3 linked regions of the Drosophila melanogaster genome follow. The protein of the gene in region 3 interacts with the protein of the main gene of each other region in a pairwise test. Each region holds a gene or a part of one and is shown on either strand. Other genes may lie near its edges.

Region 1 (4,798 bases), 1.2 Mb from region 3:
CTTCAAACTTCAGCCCACCAGATTTGGATTCGGATATAATTTTAGTGGCATTCGTATTGGAAGAGTTCTCATCTCACGTGTTTTATACGAAAATTGTACAGAAATGTGAAAGCTTTAAGAAACGCACACAGCTTAATGCTCGATCAAATATTATTAAAAAATGCATAAGCAACTTAAATTGGTTAATTGTTTTATGATTAATTCGGGGATATGGAACTGCAATGAGCTGAAATGAAAAGCTTTGAAGATTTAAAAAGTATTAAAACATATAAGCATAAAACCCTTTCAAATAAAAAAGGTTGTATCCAAATGTTCTAAACAAAGTTCTTTTGATCGTAATAATCATTCTAATAGCTTCGTTTTATCGCATTATTTTAGTAAATTTATTTGATCTAACTCGTATCTTATTTAACGGTATCATTCAACAGCTGTTTACCTATGCTACCACCAATCTGGCAACACTGCAAAACCGATCTGAAAACATATTTTTACGCAAGTCAAACTGGCACTTGAATCTATAAATAGCAATCAAAAAGAAAGCTAATAATTTAATATAGGTGAAAAACAGGCAATTTATTTTTATTTATTTTTATTTATTGTTATTTATTGTTACGCAAGTCTAACTGGCATTAAAATCTATAAATAGCAATCGAATAGAAAGCTAATAATTTAATATAGCTGAAAAACAGGAAATTTATTTTTATTTATTTTGGAAACATTCATTTTTTCTATTTCTTTTATGCCGAAACCCGCTCGATTTGATACGTTTTTTCGTATTTCCGGCAACATAAAATAAGTCAGCGATAAGCGAAATTGAAATAAATAATTTAATTTTTATATTACTTCCAAGGCCTTTTTTATTACAGTGCACTTCCAATTTGCGTCTGCTTAAGGTTTGTGTATTACTTCCCATTGGAAACAACCATAACCTGTCCTAACCGCTAATAATTGTTTAATGGTGAAGCAGATATTAAAAAGTAGCGCGTTGCCTTCGCATCTGTTTGTATTTGCGAGCGTGTTTGTGTAGCGATACCGGGGCTCAAGATGCATATGTATGTACATACATTTGGGATTTGCCAAAATCTTTGGCTTAAATACATACATACAAGCAACCAAACATTTATGGGGGATTTTGTGCGACTGGATTCATTTGTTTTTCGGGTCACAAAAAAGCGGAAAATGGAAACGCTAATCTCGGCTAACCAATAACAACGAAAACCTTGCGCTACCGCTAAATGTTATCTCTTGTTTGAATGTCAGCGCTTAGAGAGCGTCTTCGCACGTATGTATGTACGGTACAAACATACGTATGGATGGATGGATGGACAAGCTTCCAGCGGTTTGTGTGTATGTATGTACTTGGCTTGCACGAAAGTTTCAGTTTCCTATCGAAACACGTCTTAAATGTGTATTTATCATCGGCTGTGGTACGAAATGCACGTCGGTGTATGCGTGCGTACGTAATAGTTGATATTTCTCTTTTTTTTTATTGTTACAGCACGGTTGCGTGTTATGTTTTGCATTTTGTTTTGAAAGCTCCGAAAGCTGTGCTTTATGTAAAAACATACGTACACTTGCCAATGTACGAATGTTTGATTGCACGATTGTATGTACGTACGTTTGTATGTTCGTTTGTACGTTAATACTTGGCGTGTGTTTGTGTATGCGGTTAGCACAAATCCAGCGAGAAAGAAACAACCAACGTTGGCTATATGTATTAACTTCAAAATAAAGTTCAGTTTAAGCTGGAGCGCAGTCGAGGTTGCGTCGCTTGTTCGTTCGGTCGGCTTTTTGGTCTTTCGGCTTTCGGCTAGTTCCTATATTGTATGTACGCATGGTAAGCATGCGTTCTCTTTCGCTTTTCAAGTCTCAGTTTCAGTTTTCAGTCTGTTCGATTGCGTTTGCATAGCATTGCATTGATTTAACAATAGCTAAATAAAGCTTAAAGAGTGTATCTGTGATTTATTTCTAAATGTGACCGCTTTGAGCCAATTTGTGCATAAATATGTATGTACATATAATGCTTTGGATTACATGAATCGCTATTGCCATTTCTGATGCACAATGATGTATGTATGTACGCAAAGAGCATACGAATGCATGGCTTGCATTACGTGATTTCATACATCTGTGGGTGTATGTATGTATGCACCATCGAAATGGCAACTCTTACGCATAAAAATTGCAAATGTGTATAAAGCCCCACGGACCCACACAGCCACATAAACATTATCGGACGCAAATGTATACATACAAAAAAAAGTTGGCTTGGTGGCTTAATTGTTGTTGTTGTTTTTTTGTTGATAGTGTGCACACAGTGCGAAATTAGTGTGATTAAATGTGGAGATGTGTGATTTAATAAGCATGTGGGAAATACAGCGAGAGTGATTGAGATGGAAAATGGGAGATGTACAAGCTGAACTTGCCCAGAAACATGTATACACACGTACATATGCATACGTTTGTAGGATTATGCTCGGCAAAGTGAAGTATTTCCTTACAAGCAAACACAGCCATATATGTATGTTTCTTTTTTTAAACGAATGGCACAGTAAAACAGAGACCGGAATAGATGTTGTCTGTACATATGATACTGTTGATATGATACCATAGCCATAATTTAATAGCCTTTTCATGTAGCATATGCGTCTAGCTATGCAATATCGGGCATGCATAACTGCATATCCTATGTACATATGTATATCGAAATATGGGATAAACATATCACTTGACTAACACATATGCATACATGCATACATACATACACATGTACTCATTAAAATTTAAAGATGCGTGCACAAATTTAAACATTGATAATATAAATTTATATGCAGCGCCGTGTGCATACATACATACATATATTATTTTCTAATTGGAAACGCGTTGGCAATGCCTAATTGGTTTGATTATAAAATTAAATTTCTTCATTTGGTCGCAGGTTTACGGTAACTCTCTGATTTTTAATAGGGTTTTCATATAAACAAGCGGGGTTCGATGAAGTGATATCCCCGGTTTCCCGTTATTTGTTTATACCTTTTTTTTTTTGCTTTCAATTGCTACTGAGTTCAGTATAATGCTATTTCAATAAATAATAATGTTAATTCAATTTAAAAGCTCGGGTTCCGTAGTGGTGAATATGTTAATTAGAAACATGATTAGAATGGGCTAATGCATAATTCCCCTATTGCAGACCCACTGCATCTTACACTTCGGGGGACTTTCTGACCGAAAACAATAGAATCAAATGACATGTGGATACACATGTGCATAGATACGTACATATGTATGTACAGAGATATGTACATATATGGCTTACTCATTGTTAACACTTACCTGTAGTTCCCCCCAGGTGATTCTGTTGTGTCATCCGACGAACAATGGATCATCGCAAATAGGCACTTCATTAATAAGTAAGCACAAACCGTTTCGGCCATAAATATCTGTGATATATGAATCATTTTGGCATCTCTGGTTATAAAAAGCCCACGTTTAACCGGTCCAAGGTTTTTATTTGGGTCTCTCGCACAACACAAATTCAATCTACAATTGAAGTGCTTTTTCGTGTTCTCTTGCAGATACTAGATCGTGAGATACGAGATCAAAAAAATAGATTCATGAGTACGACAACAGGAAAGGGAAACGTCGCAAAAGGACTCTTCGGGAGAATCAAACTACCTTAATACCATTAGCTAAACTTAGTTAAATATGTCAAATACGACGAGGTCCAGCCGAGTTACCATCGGTAGAATTGGAACCACGCCACAGATCACAGATCCATGGTCGTCCGGCTTGGAGAAGCAGCGACCTTCCCGCTGTGGAGGCCCCAAATCTCTCGCAGAGCCAACGTACCGAAAGATCGGACGGCGAAAGATGATGCTCCATATGCGAGTCCATGACCCTGGAACGACTGTAACACAAAGAGCAAAAGAAACGGCAACGGCAAAACTCAATAGAATCTATTTATGTACATTTAACCGAATGGCACAGAGCTGTATATATTTTGTATTATTTTTAGTAATCCTAAGCCCAAATACTAGTTGTGCTCTACGGAGTAGTGCGGGTGAGACTCAGAATTATGTCGGAATACTCAGCAACGATAGTGCAACGACCACATATGATGTGTCGTCCCTGCACAGCAGTAGAAGAACAAATCCCCCATCATCATCATCATCATCATCATCGAATGTTGATGTTGATTATCGTAATGACAGAGAGCTCCACAAGGTCGACCTGGTTGGCCTGGGAGGTGAAAGAGCGGGTCAAGCTGAGACCATTAGCGGCGGCAAATACGATTATAACTATGAAAATACTCACACAAATGCCAGTGCGAAAGATGAAATTGTTGAACGGCAGTCAAATAGCCTCGACTTCGACGGGGTCGATATGTTTGGCGCCTTCAGCATTCCGGAAGAGGCGATATACACAAATGAGTTCGCCGTCAACATTCCAGCTGGCAAGCAAATGGCAGATGTTATAGCTACCAAACATGGATTTATCAATAGAGGACAGGTGAGAATGTTTGTCCAACGCTGCAATGGAATTGGTGCTCATACAATTTACTTAATTTTTCATAGATTGGATCGCTGGACAACTACTATCTGTTTCAGCATCACCATGTATCGAAGCGTTCGCTGCGCTCTAGTCGCAAACATCAGGGCGCCCTTAAATCAGAGAACGAGGTGTGTACTCTCTAAAAAAGTATCCAGTTGGAGCAGAGATTTCAATCATGATTGCCTTGCAGGTGAAATGGATGCAGCAACAGCACGAGAAGGTGCGCCGAAAGAGGGACGGCCCGTAC
Region 2 (4,658 bases), 620 kb from region 3:
TCTTGTGTCTTTGCCATTGAGCCTATCGTGATTTGGCTCTTTTGGGCTCTGGGCTGCTTTCAGCTCCTGATTCCTAATTCCTTCTGGCTTCTTGCCTTTGTGCCTTGTGCTCATCATCATTTGCCGGGGCAGAGAAATCGCAATGGAATCAGATTTTTGCCTCTTTTCTCGAAGGCTAATTGGTGCCCAAATGCCGCCTGCCGAATGATTCTGTTTTCCCCACGAAATGCGAATGGGAATGTAAATGGGGACCAGGATGACGGGGTGACCAGGGGGCGACGTCGTCCATGGGGGCAACTAGCTAAACAACAATTTTAATTGCGACCAGGCAGAGTCAACGTCTGGGACTCGGGCCAAAGGCAAATGAGCGAGCGCTCCAAGAAATATGAACGAGGTCAATGATTGTTTACACTACCCTCGAATGCTGTTTACTTCGGCCCGACGACAGAGGGGGTGAGGGGGTAGAACGGGGGGCATTGGTTGTGTGTGTGGGTGTGTGTGGCAGGTGGCAGTTGGCAGTTGGGGTGGTGGCACGATGGGGTTAGTTCTAGTTGCCAGACACCTTGGAGGCAGCGCCTGCAGCGAATGTCAGTTTGTGGAAAAAAACAAGAAAATGCAGTAATTAGAAAAATACCTAGATATAATTATTTTTCTTATCTTCGTTTGAGTGCATGCAAAGAAATTTAATTCAATGGGGGGTCTTTAGTTCACCACTTGGCACTTCTAAGAAGATTAGCTATAAAAAACTGAGTAAGACTTAAAAAACTTCGTAAGGTGTCTAAAAGTATGCAGCACTAAATTTCTGCATAGAATAAAATAATCATATGTGTAAGCAAAGTTTCGTTAATATTTTTGAATGGGAAATTAAAGTATCCAGTCCACTGTGGCGACTATTAGGCCTCGGGCACATGTGTGTGTGTGTGTGTGTTAGAAAGTGTGTACAAGTATGGAATGCGAGCAAGGGAGAAGGAGATGAAAAACAAAAAGAGAGCGATGCATAAACACTTGCAGGTGCCACTACAGATGCTTCAGTTGTTGCCTCATTTACGTGAACTGTTTAAGGTGAGAACATAAGCTAATCAATAAACCTGCGCGATGAGGTGGTAGTTATGCTCATCCCCAACAAGTAAAGCTACCGGATGGCCAATCAAAGTAGTCGACACGTAGATATTCAGTATTTTCTACATTTTCCACCTTTACACAGTACATAGTATCCAAAATTATTCCCTTCCAGCCCAAGATGAATCGATATCATGAACTCAGCATGTCGTGGGAAATGCTGCGCGATCTCTACGAGACCTGGCTAATCCTGGCCATTGGCATGTTGGTGCGCTGGAATCGCTGGCGTCCGTTGATCCATGGCATGGTATCGCCACTGGATCCATCGCTTAAGCACATCGTGGGCGACAATGAACGCTGGGCGGGAGTCTACTTTGGATGCGGCACACTCATGACCATCATGCAGTATCGATCACTTTGGGTGCGCCGGTGTCGTCACCGCGTCCACATCCTGATGCTGCTGTCCGAAATAATGCTACTGCTCCAGCTGGTGCACTGGATCGACTGCCAGCTGTGGCAATCCTTTCTGAGCCTCTTCGAGGAGCTCTTCATCGCCCTGGGACGCGGTCAATGGGGCTCCTGGATCTTTTGCTGTCCGGCCGCAGTGCGCAATCTGTTCCTGCGTGGCGATGTCTTCGATGTGTTCCGCTTGCTCGCCTCGTTCGCCATCTTCGCCGTGGCCCTAAACTCGACAGCTGGTGAATGGCGGGTGTCCTTGGACTTCCTGCTAATCGGCTATTTCCCAAAAACTTCACTCTGGAGGCAGTCGCTCTATGTGGAATATAGGAGTAAGGGTTTCGAGCCCACGGGCTCGTACGTACTGCTACCACTTCCCCCACCCGAGCTCCTCATCTACAAGCGTATGTGTCGCCTGTGTCTGCAGCAACTTGAAACGAATCCCACTCACCAAAAGATTCAGATGCCTTGTTAAACGAAGGAGCAGTGCAGTTCATTCCTGGCTTCTTTATTTACTGTAGCTGATACGTTTAAATTGAATTAGTTTTCGCATCTTTGGCAAATTCCAATTATACATATATTTTATATCTCTGAATATTCATACAATAAAATCTAGCGTGTGATAAGCTCTTAGAAAGTTTTGATGGCCATCAGTTCTTACTTAGTTCTTTTTCGAGTACATGCATCACTTGGTGTCCTAATGTGATCTTCATGTGATTGATAGCCACAAGCTGCTATAGCGGCGCATCGCAGAACCCAGAAACTATGATTAAAATCGCATTTTCCATGATAAACCGAGGAATGCCAAAGTCATCGACCTAAAACTGTCGTAATAACCGCAGGGTATGTGCCCAAAGATAAATGCAACCGCACGTGGACCGCAAATCGAATGCAACTGCAAGCCAATTGTCAATCGCAAACTGCCACCCAAAATACCACCCATCCATCCTGACCATCAAAACCACCGCGGGAAATCTGCCTAATTATCTGGTTAGCTGGATTCGGATTGGGATTGGGATTGGGAGGTTAGGGGTGATATTGTTTATCCGGGGCTAAGTAACGACATACCTGGCACTCATTTGTGTGGTCATCAAACGCGGCGGTGGGTCTGCGGATTGGTTCGTGTTTGCGATGACAGTAATCGACTGATTAAGCGTAATTATGGATGTAATTTCCACTCAAATATTGAAGGCGAAACAGCAACAAACAGCAGCCAACAATGGACTATAAAGGCCTTTTCACTTTGGCTTTAAAACAAATTGGCTAGCAGTTTAACGCATTAGCGCGCACACTTAATTAGAATTCCCTGGCTGTTTTTTTTTTTTTTAAATTTTTTTTTTTTTTATTTGTTATTTGGCGTTGCTTTTGCTGGCCAAAGTGGGTGGCAAATGGGCGGGTGGTGATTTCCAATATGCACAGCGCACGCGAGCAACCCAAAAAAACAAACAAAAATTCGGAAAAAAATTAAAATAAATAGAGGAAGCCGAAAAAAAACAATGAGGAAACCGAACCGAAACAGAAAATCGAGTCGCGAACATGCAACTTGTGCGAATGGCAATCGAATGCCAGCAGTCGCACAAATGGCCTGGGCCTCAGTCGCAGTCGCCGTCGGCGTTGGCGTCGACGTCAGCAGCGCAGTCGGCGTAGGGATGGGCTGAGGAATTGAGCAATTGAAGAATTTACTTTGCATTTCTTGCAGGTGCCGCCTGTCGTGGTTGGGCTGTGACTAATTATTCAGCAGGTTGCTCTTCCTCTTGGCCTCTGCCTAAATATAGTAAATAATAAAAATTCTGGCGAATAACAAAAGGCAAAGCGGCGGGCAAATAAACAATAAAACGCCTGCCCCTGCTACAGATACAGATACTATATCTAAAGATACAGATAAAGATACGGAGGCGGGCCGGCAGTCAAATCAAACGAACCGTTTATTGGGCTGCTGCTGTTCGTATTTGTATATATATATATATACATGTGTTTAGATCGGTTGAATATAACAACACCTAGGCGAACTCTGCAGACACTATCGCCAAATAGAACCTCTTTAATCCATTCATTTCGATTTTTAGAACTTAAAACACTCAAGTCAGCAAGGAAAAGGCCAAAAGGTCAAATTACTAATTGAATTTAACTATTTAAATATTTCTTAAATCTAATAAACTACTAGGTTTATAGAAATTGGCAATGCTCTTTATTACTTTACAGATGCTAAACCACTTTAAATATTCTCCTTATGTGTTTATCTGTATTGCATTATTTTTTTGTTTTAATTTTTCAAAAAATGTCAAATAAGCGAAAACATTGTCCCCCTTTCACAGAATCGGTATCAATTTGTTTGCCTTTTTATTGCCTTGGATCATCTCTATTCGCTTCGAATAGAGAACAAAACTAGAAGAATCTTTAAGATATTTTTGGCACAATCTTATCATCCAATCTTATTCTACACTCGAATTTAAATAGTTTGTTTTATATTACGCTGGCCAACGGATCAAAAAGCCGCCAAAAAGCAACACTTTCAATATTATAATTAAACATTTGATTTTCGTTTAAATGCCCATAAATCTTCTGTATATACTGTAGTTGTTAAGTTGCCAACAAAGTATTTAAGTTCAAATTCCTGCCAGCATCGAATGCTATTCGAAAAGTAATCTATAATTAAATGCATTGTTCTTCGAAATGAAGCACAAGTTTATAGCTGCTCATACAATACATACACATTGATTGGTTTCTCAATTGCTCTATGTATTCCATCAACTAAATGGTCTCTTAAGATCTCTTTGGAACCGATTAGATTGGTTGAAGTATCTGCCTGCCGATCATTGATTATGACGATCAACTGACGCAGAAGCAGCATTTCCATTTCCCGTTTCAATTTGCAGTTCGCCAGCGAACGCGCGAAGAATAAATTCGCAATTGTGCACGAAAGAGGGGGCCTTAATGGTCGCACCTAAGAGGGGCGCTTTTTTTTGGGGGGGCGGGAGGAGGGGGATAGGGCGATACCGCGTCATCGACGTCGATTGCGGCAGCAACGCCCGCAGCGACTTACTCACTCATGCTGCCTCGAATGCGATGCCGATGCCTAAAGAATCGAATTCGAGACCGAAACAGGCCAATTATAATTACTGTTTATTTATTCTGGTTGTGTA
Region 3 (4,676 bases):
AGAACCATTTTTAATTATTCTTATACGTTCTTTATTTTTATATATTAATTATTCATTTAAGTTATATATGAGTAAATTTGTAATGCTTTTAGACGTTCAAGGCCACACTTTTTTTAAGTGCATTCCGGTACGCTGGCGCTTAAAGGAGCAACAGCTGGCGTATGAGTGAGAGGCCAGACGGTGGGAGAGGGGCACCGAAACAGAAGAGAGTGTGAGAAAGGGAAAGAGAGATCCCAGCCGGCGAATGCGCGGCAAAAACAAAAGGCAACGGGAGAAGCTCGGCGAAACAGCTGGCGAAGAAAGTCGCTCTCTTTGGCTTATCTCTTTTTAACCCTCTTCTGCCTGCCATTGCTTTTCTTAACCCTTGCGTATCCTTGTTGAGAGTAAATCAAGCGCTCCACATATTTTATTAAGTTGGAAACCAGTAATAAAGTAGGAAGCTCGCTGCCAGCTGCAGCTCACACACACACCTACACGCACACACTAACCGATGCACTCTTCTCCGGCGCTGGGGTTGCTGTTGTTGCACTGCCTGCTGCACGCGCGAAAATGCTAAGTTGCCAGGAGCGGATTCAGTTGGTTGGCTGCATATATGACAACCAACGAAGATTTTCTAACTCAGTATTAGTTAGACCATCATTTCGAGAAAACAGAAAAGTATAAACTTTTTTTCCGTATCATCGCAGTTATGAACCAAGCAGACTTAATTTTTTTTGTAACAAAACTAATAGATCGGCTTAGATTGATGAACTAACAAAATTAATCAGGTAACCGTATTCCCATAAAACATTGCCTACTTTTTCGGGCATTAGGTAAACTACAATATAAACTATACCCTGCACCGTTTTGAAAGTGATCCGCACCTGTTCTGAAGCATTTTCTGCTCTCTCCCTCGCTTCCCTTCTTCGATCCCACTCTTCGTAGAGGCTCAAAACGTGCGCCTAACAAAATGCCGGTTTAAGTTTTGCGTTGTTTGGCGTATACGTAATGCAAAAGGAGAGCGAGAGTAGTGTGCCGAAAACGAGAGAGTGTGTGAGAGAGCGGAAAAGAGCGCGCGCGTCGCTAGTTGCTTTTCGTCTGATTGGAACTCCAAACTCCAATTCCAGCTCCAACTCCTACTACAAATACAACTACAGCTCCACTGCATCAGCATGTTGTTGTTGCTGCTTTAGCTGTTTTTTGTTTTTGTTTCATCTGGCAGTTCTTGTTCCTTTCCTTCTGCACTCCATTCGCACACTAGCTCAGGTCCACAGCAGCAGTCAAAGCAATAGCAGCTACAACTGCGCAGCTATTAAATGTTTTCAAAATACCAAAGTTCTTAAAAAAATATGTATACTAATTATGTTTTTTTGATAAAATAATGTTTAAGCTATTTCAAAGATTGAAACCAATTTTATGGTTTGTGATGTGCATTGTTAAATTAAATTACTTACTTACTTACACTTACTTTTTAGCAATACTAAGTTCACAATAAACGTCGCTTCCATTCAATCATTAACTTAAAACAAGCTCTAAGCCATTTGGGCATTAATTCTTTTTCCGTGCCTGTGGCGAGCAAACTGCATTTGCGGCACTGCCGGCGTCGTCGACGTGGGGACGTCGCTGCGTCCGTGGGATTCGGCCGCAGTTGGATTTTGGTGCTGCTCGCGCGAGGACGTCTCCTCTCCTTAAACTTCTGCTGGGGCTCTCTTCGAAGAGAGCGCTAATCCTGCGAAGAGCGTCGTTTTTAAGTCGCGATCAGAAACAACAGTAACCACAACCTGGTGGCCAGCAATTCTTACCAGTTTTTAGAAAGAGCCACGAAAAAAATGAAGTAGTGTGAAATATTATATTTTCATTTTGTGTGTGCGTGTGTGTGCGGTTTTCCTTTAATTTCGTTACACTTCTTTTTTTTTGCGATTTTTGTTTATGTGCCAAACTAGTTTCGAGTTCATTGAATTTGCGGCGCCGTTGTCAACCGATCGTTGCTGAAAACGTAAGTGCAGCTTTTTAAGTAGCTAAGGATGCGTTTGCCGCAGGACATTTGCGGTCACGTGGCAGCTGCCGCCACCTGCGAAAACCGCAAAACGAAAAAGCCGCCAAAACATTAGCACTTGAATGGAAAAGTATTTCGCAAATTAGTTAAATAAGGGTTATAAAAGTGGCAGAAAAAGTATTTGTAGTGCACCAAAATTGAATATTTTTTTCCTTAGAACTGGAAGCGTTGTCTGTGTTTTTTAAACAATAATTGGCATGAAATTTCAAAAAATCGAAAATCATATACTTGACCGAAAAAAAAAGAAAAATATTACGTGAATTTATTTTATGTATATTAAGTTGTAACTTTAGGGCTTAAATCGCGATATAAAGTTTTCACATATTATATTTTCTGAACATCTCTTTTTAGACACTTTCTTAAAATACAAATAAATTTCAGAGTTGTCAATTTTTGGGTGAGAGCAGGTTTCCCCTTTTTAGCAGACTCACTACATACATTTATATTAACAACAATAACTTGGCTCTTTTGTCTCACAAGCAATTGGCTCGAAATGTTGTCGCGTCGCCCTTAGCTGTATCCTTTGTTTGGTCCTTGGCCATTAGGATCCCTTTTAATTAAGATGAATAACTTGCAGTTTTTATACGCCACAGAAATCGAAATTTCATCGCCGGCATTTGGTTGTTGCTTTATAAAGAGCTTTAAAACCAAACTTTTAAAGCATGGAAATAATTTAGTTTTTGTCGAAATACGTTAATAAACCTTCAGATAAGATTTACTGTTTGTTTATTTGTTTGTACAATTTATTACTTTGTCCATTTTTTTTTTTACTTTTTGTTGTACTTTGCTAGAAGTTTCCATCTCAAAGCGTTAAGTTTTTCTAGCATTTTGGCACAGCTTAAAAGTTGGCAAGTGCCAAAAGTTCAAGCGCGCTGCTCACCTTTCAATTAGCCGGGAATTCAGAGCGAATCTAATTAGTTGGCCAACATGGTGGTGGAAAGTGACGAGTCCTCTGATTTCCTGGCTCCCTGATTGCTTCCAAAAGCTGATCGATCATCAAAAGACACAACCGCCACGCAAAAAGGTAGCAAAAAGTAAACAAACTAAAAATCAAGCTACCGAAACAAAAAATGTACGAATTCTGGACTGTCGAAATGTTTTGGCAGTTTCAGCAGGGTGCTGTTAAAAAATGAATTCAGGAATTTCAGAAGTGTGGCCAATCATCAAACTGAATGAAGAAAAAAGTGCCCCTTTGGTTGACTCTTCCTGTTACATTTCACAAAGAAACATAAACGAATAGAAAGGAAAGTTGTATATTATAATCTTAGATATATTAACCGATAAATGTCAAAAATGTGTGTGTGACACGCAGTAAAGAATGTTAAATTGAATTAGGGGAAAAAGTATTACAAAAAAAAAAACAAAGTTCTTTGAATACCAGTTCATTACATTTTTTGTACATTACTTGACGAATGTAAGGACCTTTTAAGCAACCGAAAAATGCAAACAATTTGAGCAGCCCTCCGCTGATTTCGCTTATTAACTAAAATAAATCCGTCCAAACGGAAAGGTGCAGAAGGACAGGGCCGTTGGCCAAGTGCTACTGGCCAACTAGCTGACCATTTCCCTGTTTTGCCTTTTTTTTGTGTTTTTTTTTTTTTGTTAGCCTAGCTGCTGCTGCTTTATGTTTGCCTTTTATTTTGGCCACAAGTTCTAGTTAGTACGAGGCGGACGAAGGCGAGTTCATAGAGCCAAAAGAACCGGTCTTGGAAAGTCGTCTAAATGTTTCTCTTACCTTCGGGCACTGCAAGAAAAAACTAATTACGAAATAAGAGATATATAAAACATTTGGTTTAATGTGATCAGACCATCACGGTAGATTTAACTATCTTGGTGCGCTTCGTCACAACGTGGACTGCAAGCCTAAAAGATTTCCTAATCAGTATTACCTAACTATTAAAGTCATGATAAATGAATTAATGAAAATGAGGATGTGCTTCTCGAAAACCAGACTCGGCATGAAGTTCCCATGCTTTTTTATCAGTGCACCTTTTTATCCCCGTCCAAGTCGAAGTCCGAGACTTTTCGATGTCGATGCTGAAGGCCCACTAAAATGTCTGGCTGTGTGAGTGTGCGAGTGTGTAGTGGCTCCTTCCACGGAGTATTCATTCCCAGAGGAATGTGTTAAAGTGTCTAAAGCTGTTTGCCTTCCCCCCGAACGCGCCCCCCCCCTCCCCCACCTCAACCATCCATCCAAATCGCCAAATAGAAAATTCTGAACTCGAGGAGCAGCATAAAATACAAAGCCGAACGCATCAGAATGGCAACGGCGATTTATAAGATAGTCCCACAGAGCGCAGAGGAAAAATAATATCAAATATCAGGGCTTAATTGATTTTTTTCTTCGCCTTTTTACCCCTTTTTATAATGGATCTGACTCATTTGGTAGAGCTTATAAGTTATATAAGCATCATAAAAAGTACATGAAAGCTTTTTAATGCATCAAAATGTTTTTAAAATATGAATTTGCTATATGTGCTCCAATAATCTGTTAAATAGTAAAGTTAATTGCATGTGATTGCTGTTACAAAATGTTGTAATAAAATAGAGAAGGATGTACAAGGCTAAATTGCTACCTTAATATATAATAAAACATACAAGTTCTTAAAAAAAAAACGAAATCTAAATATTGGGTACCTCA

Evidence for each region.
Region 1: the proteins of CG43658 (region 3) and Fur2 interact in a two-hybrid assay, tested with the Drosophila melanogaster proteins (one large-scale study listed by BioGRID).
Region 2: the proteins of CG43658 (region 3) and Frq2 interact in a two-hybrid assay, tested with the Drosophila melanogaster proteins (one large-scale study listed by BioGRID).

The regions. Positions count from the first base shown.
Region 1 is NC_004354.4:16,371,351-16,376,148, forward strand, and holds the start of Fur2 (furin 2), read left to right. Parts: upstream 1-1,735; 5' UTR 1,736-1,837; intron 1,838-1,871; exon of another isoform or gene 1,872-2,073; intron 2,074-2,279; exon of another isoform or gene 2,280-2,484; intron 2,485-3,190; exon of another isoform or gene 3,191-3,410; intron 3,411-3,575; 5' UTR 3,576-3,705; coding exon 3,706-4,509; intron 4,510-4,574; coding exon 4,575-4,679; intron 4,680-4,741; coding exon 4,742-4,798. Other genes in the region: nonA (no on or off transient A), read left to right, coding at 1-197. UniProt on the Drosophila melanogaster protein: Furin is likely to represent the ubiquitous endoprotease activity within constitutive secretory pathways and capable of cleavage at the RX(K/R)R consensus motif.
Region 2 is NC_004354.4:18,176,017-18,180,674, reverse strand, and holds the start of Frq2 (frequenin 2), read right to left. Parts: upstream 3,064-4,658; 5' UTR 2,584-3,063; intron 2,150-2,583; exon of another isoform or gene 1,991-2,149; coding exon of another isoform or gene 1,241-1,990; exon of another isoform or gene 1,203-1,240; intron 1-1,202. Other genes in the region: andorra, read left to right, coding at 1,241-1,990.
Region 3 is NC_004354.4:17,558,128-17,562,803, reverse strand, and holds the start of CG43658 (uncharacterized protein), read left to right. Parts: upstream 1-1,623; 5' UTR 1,624-1,975; intron 1,976-4,676.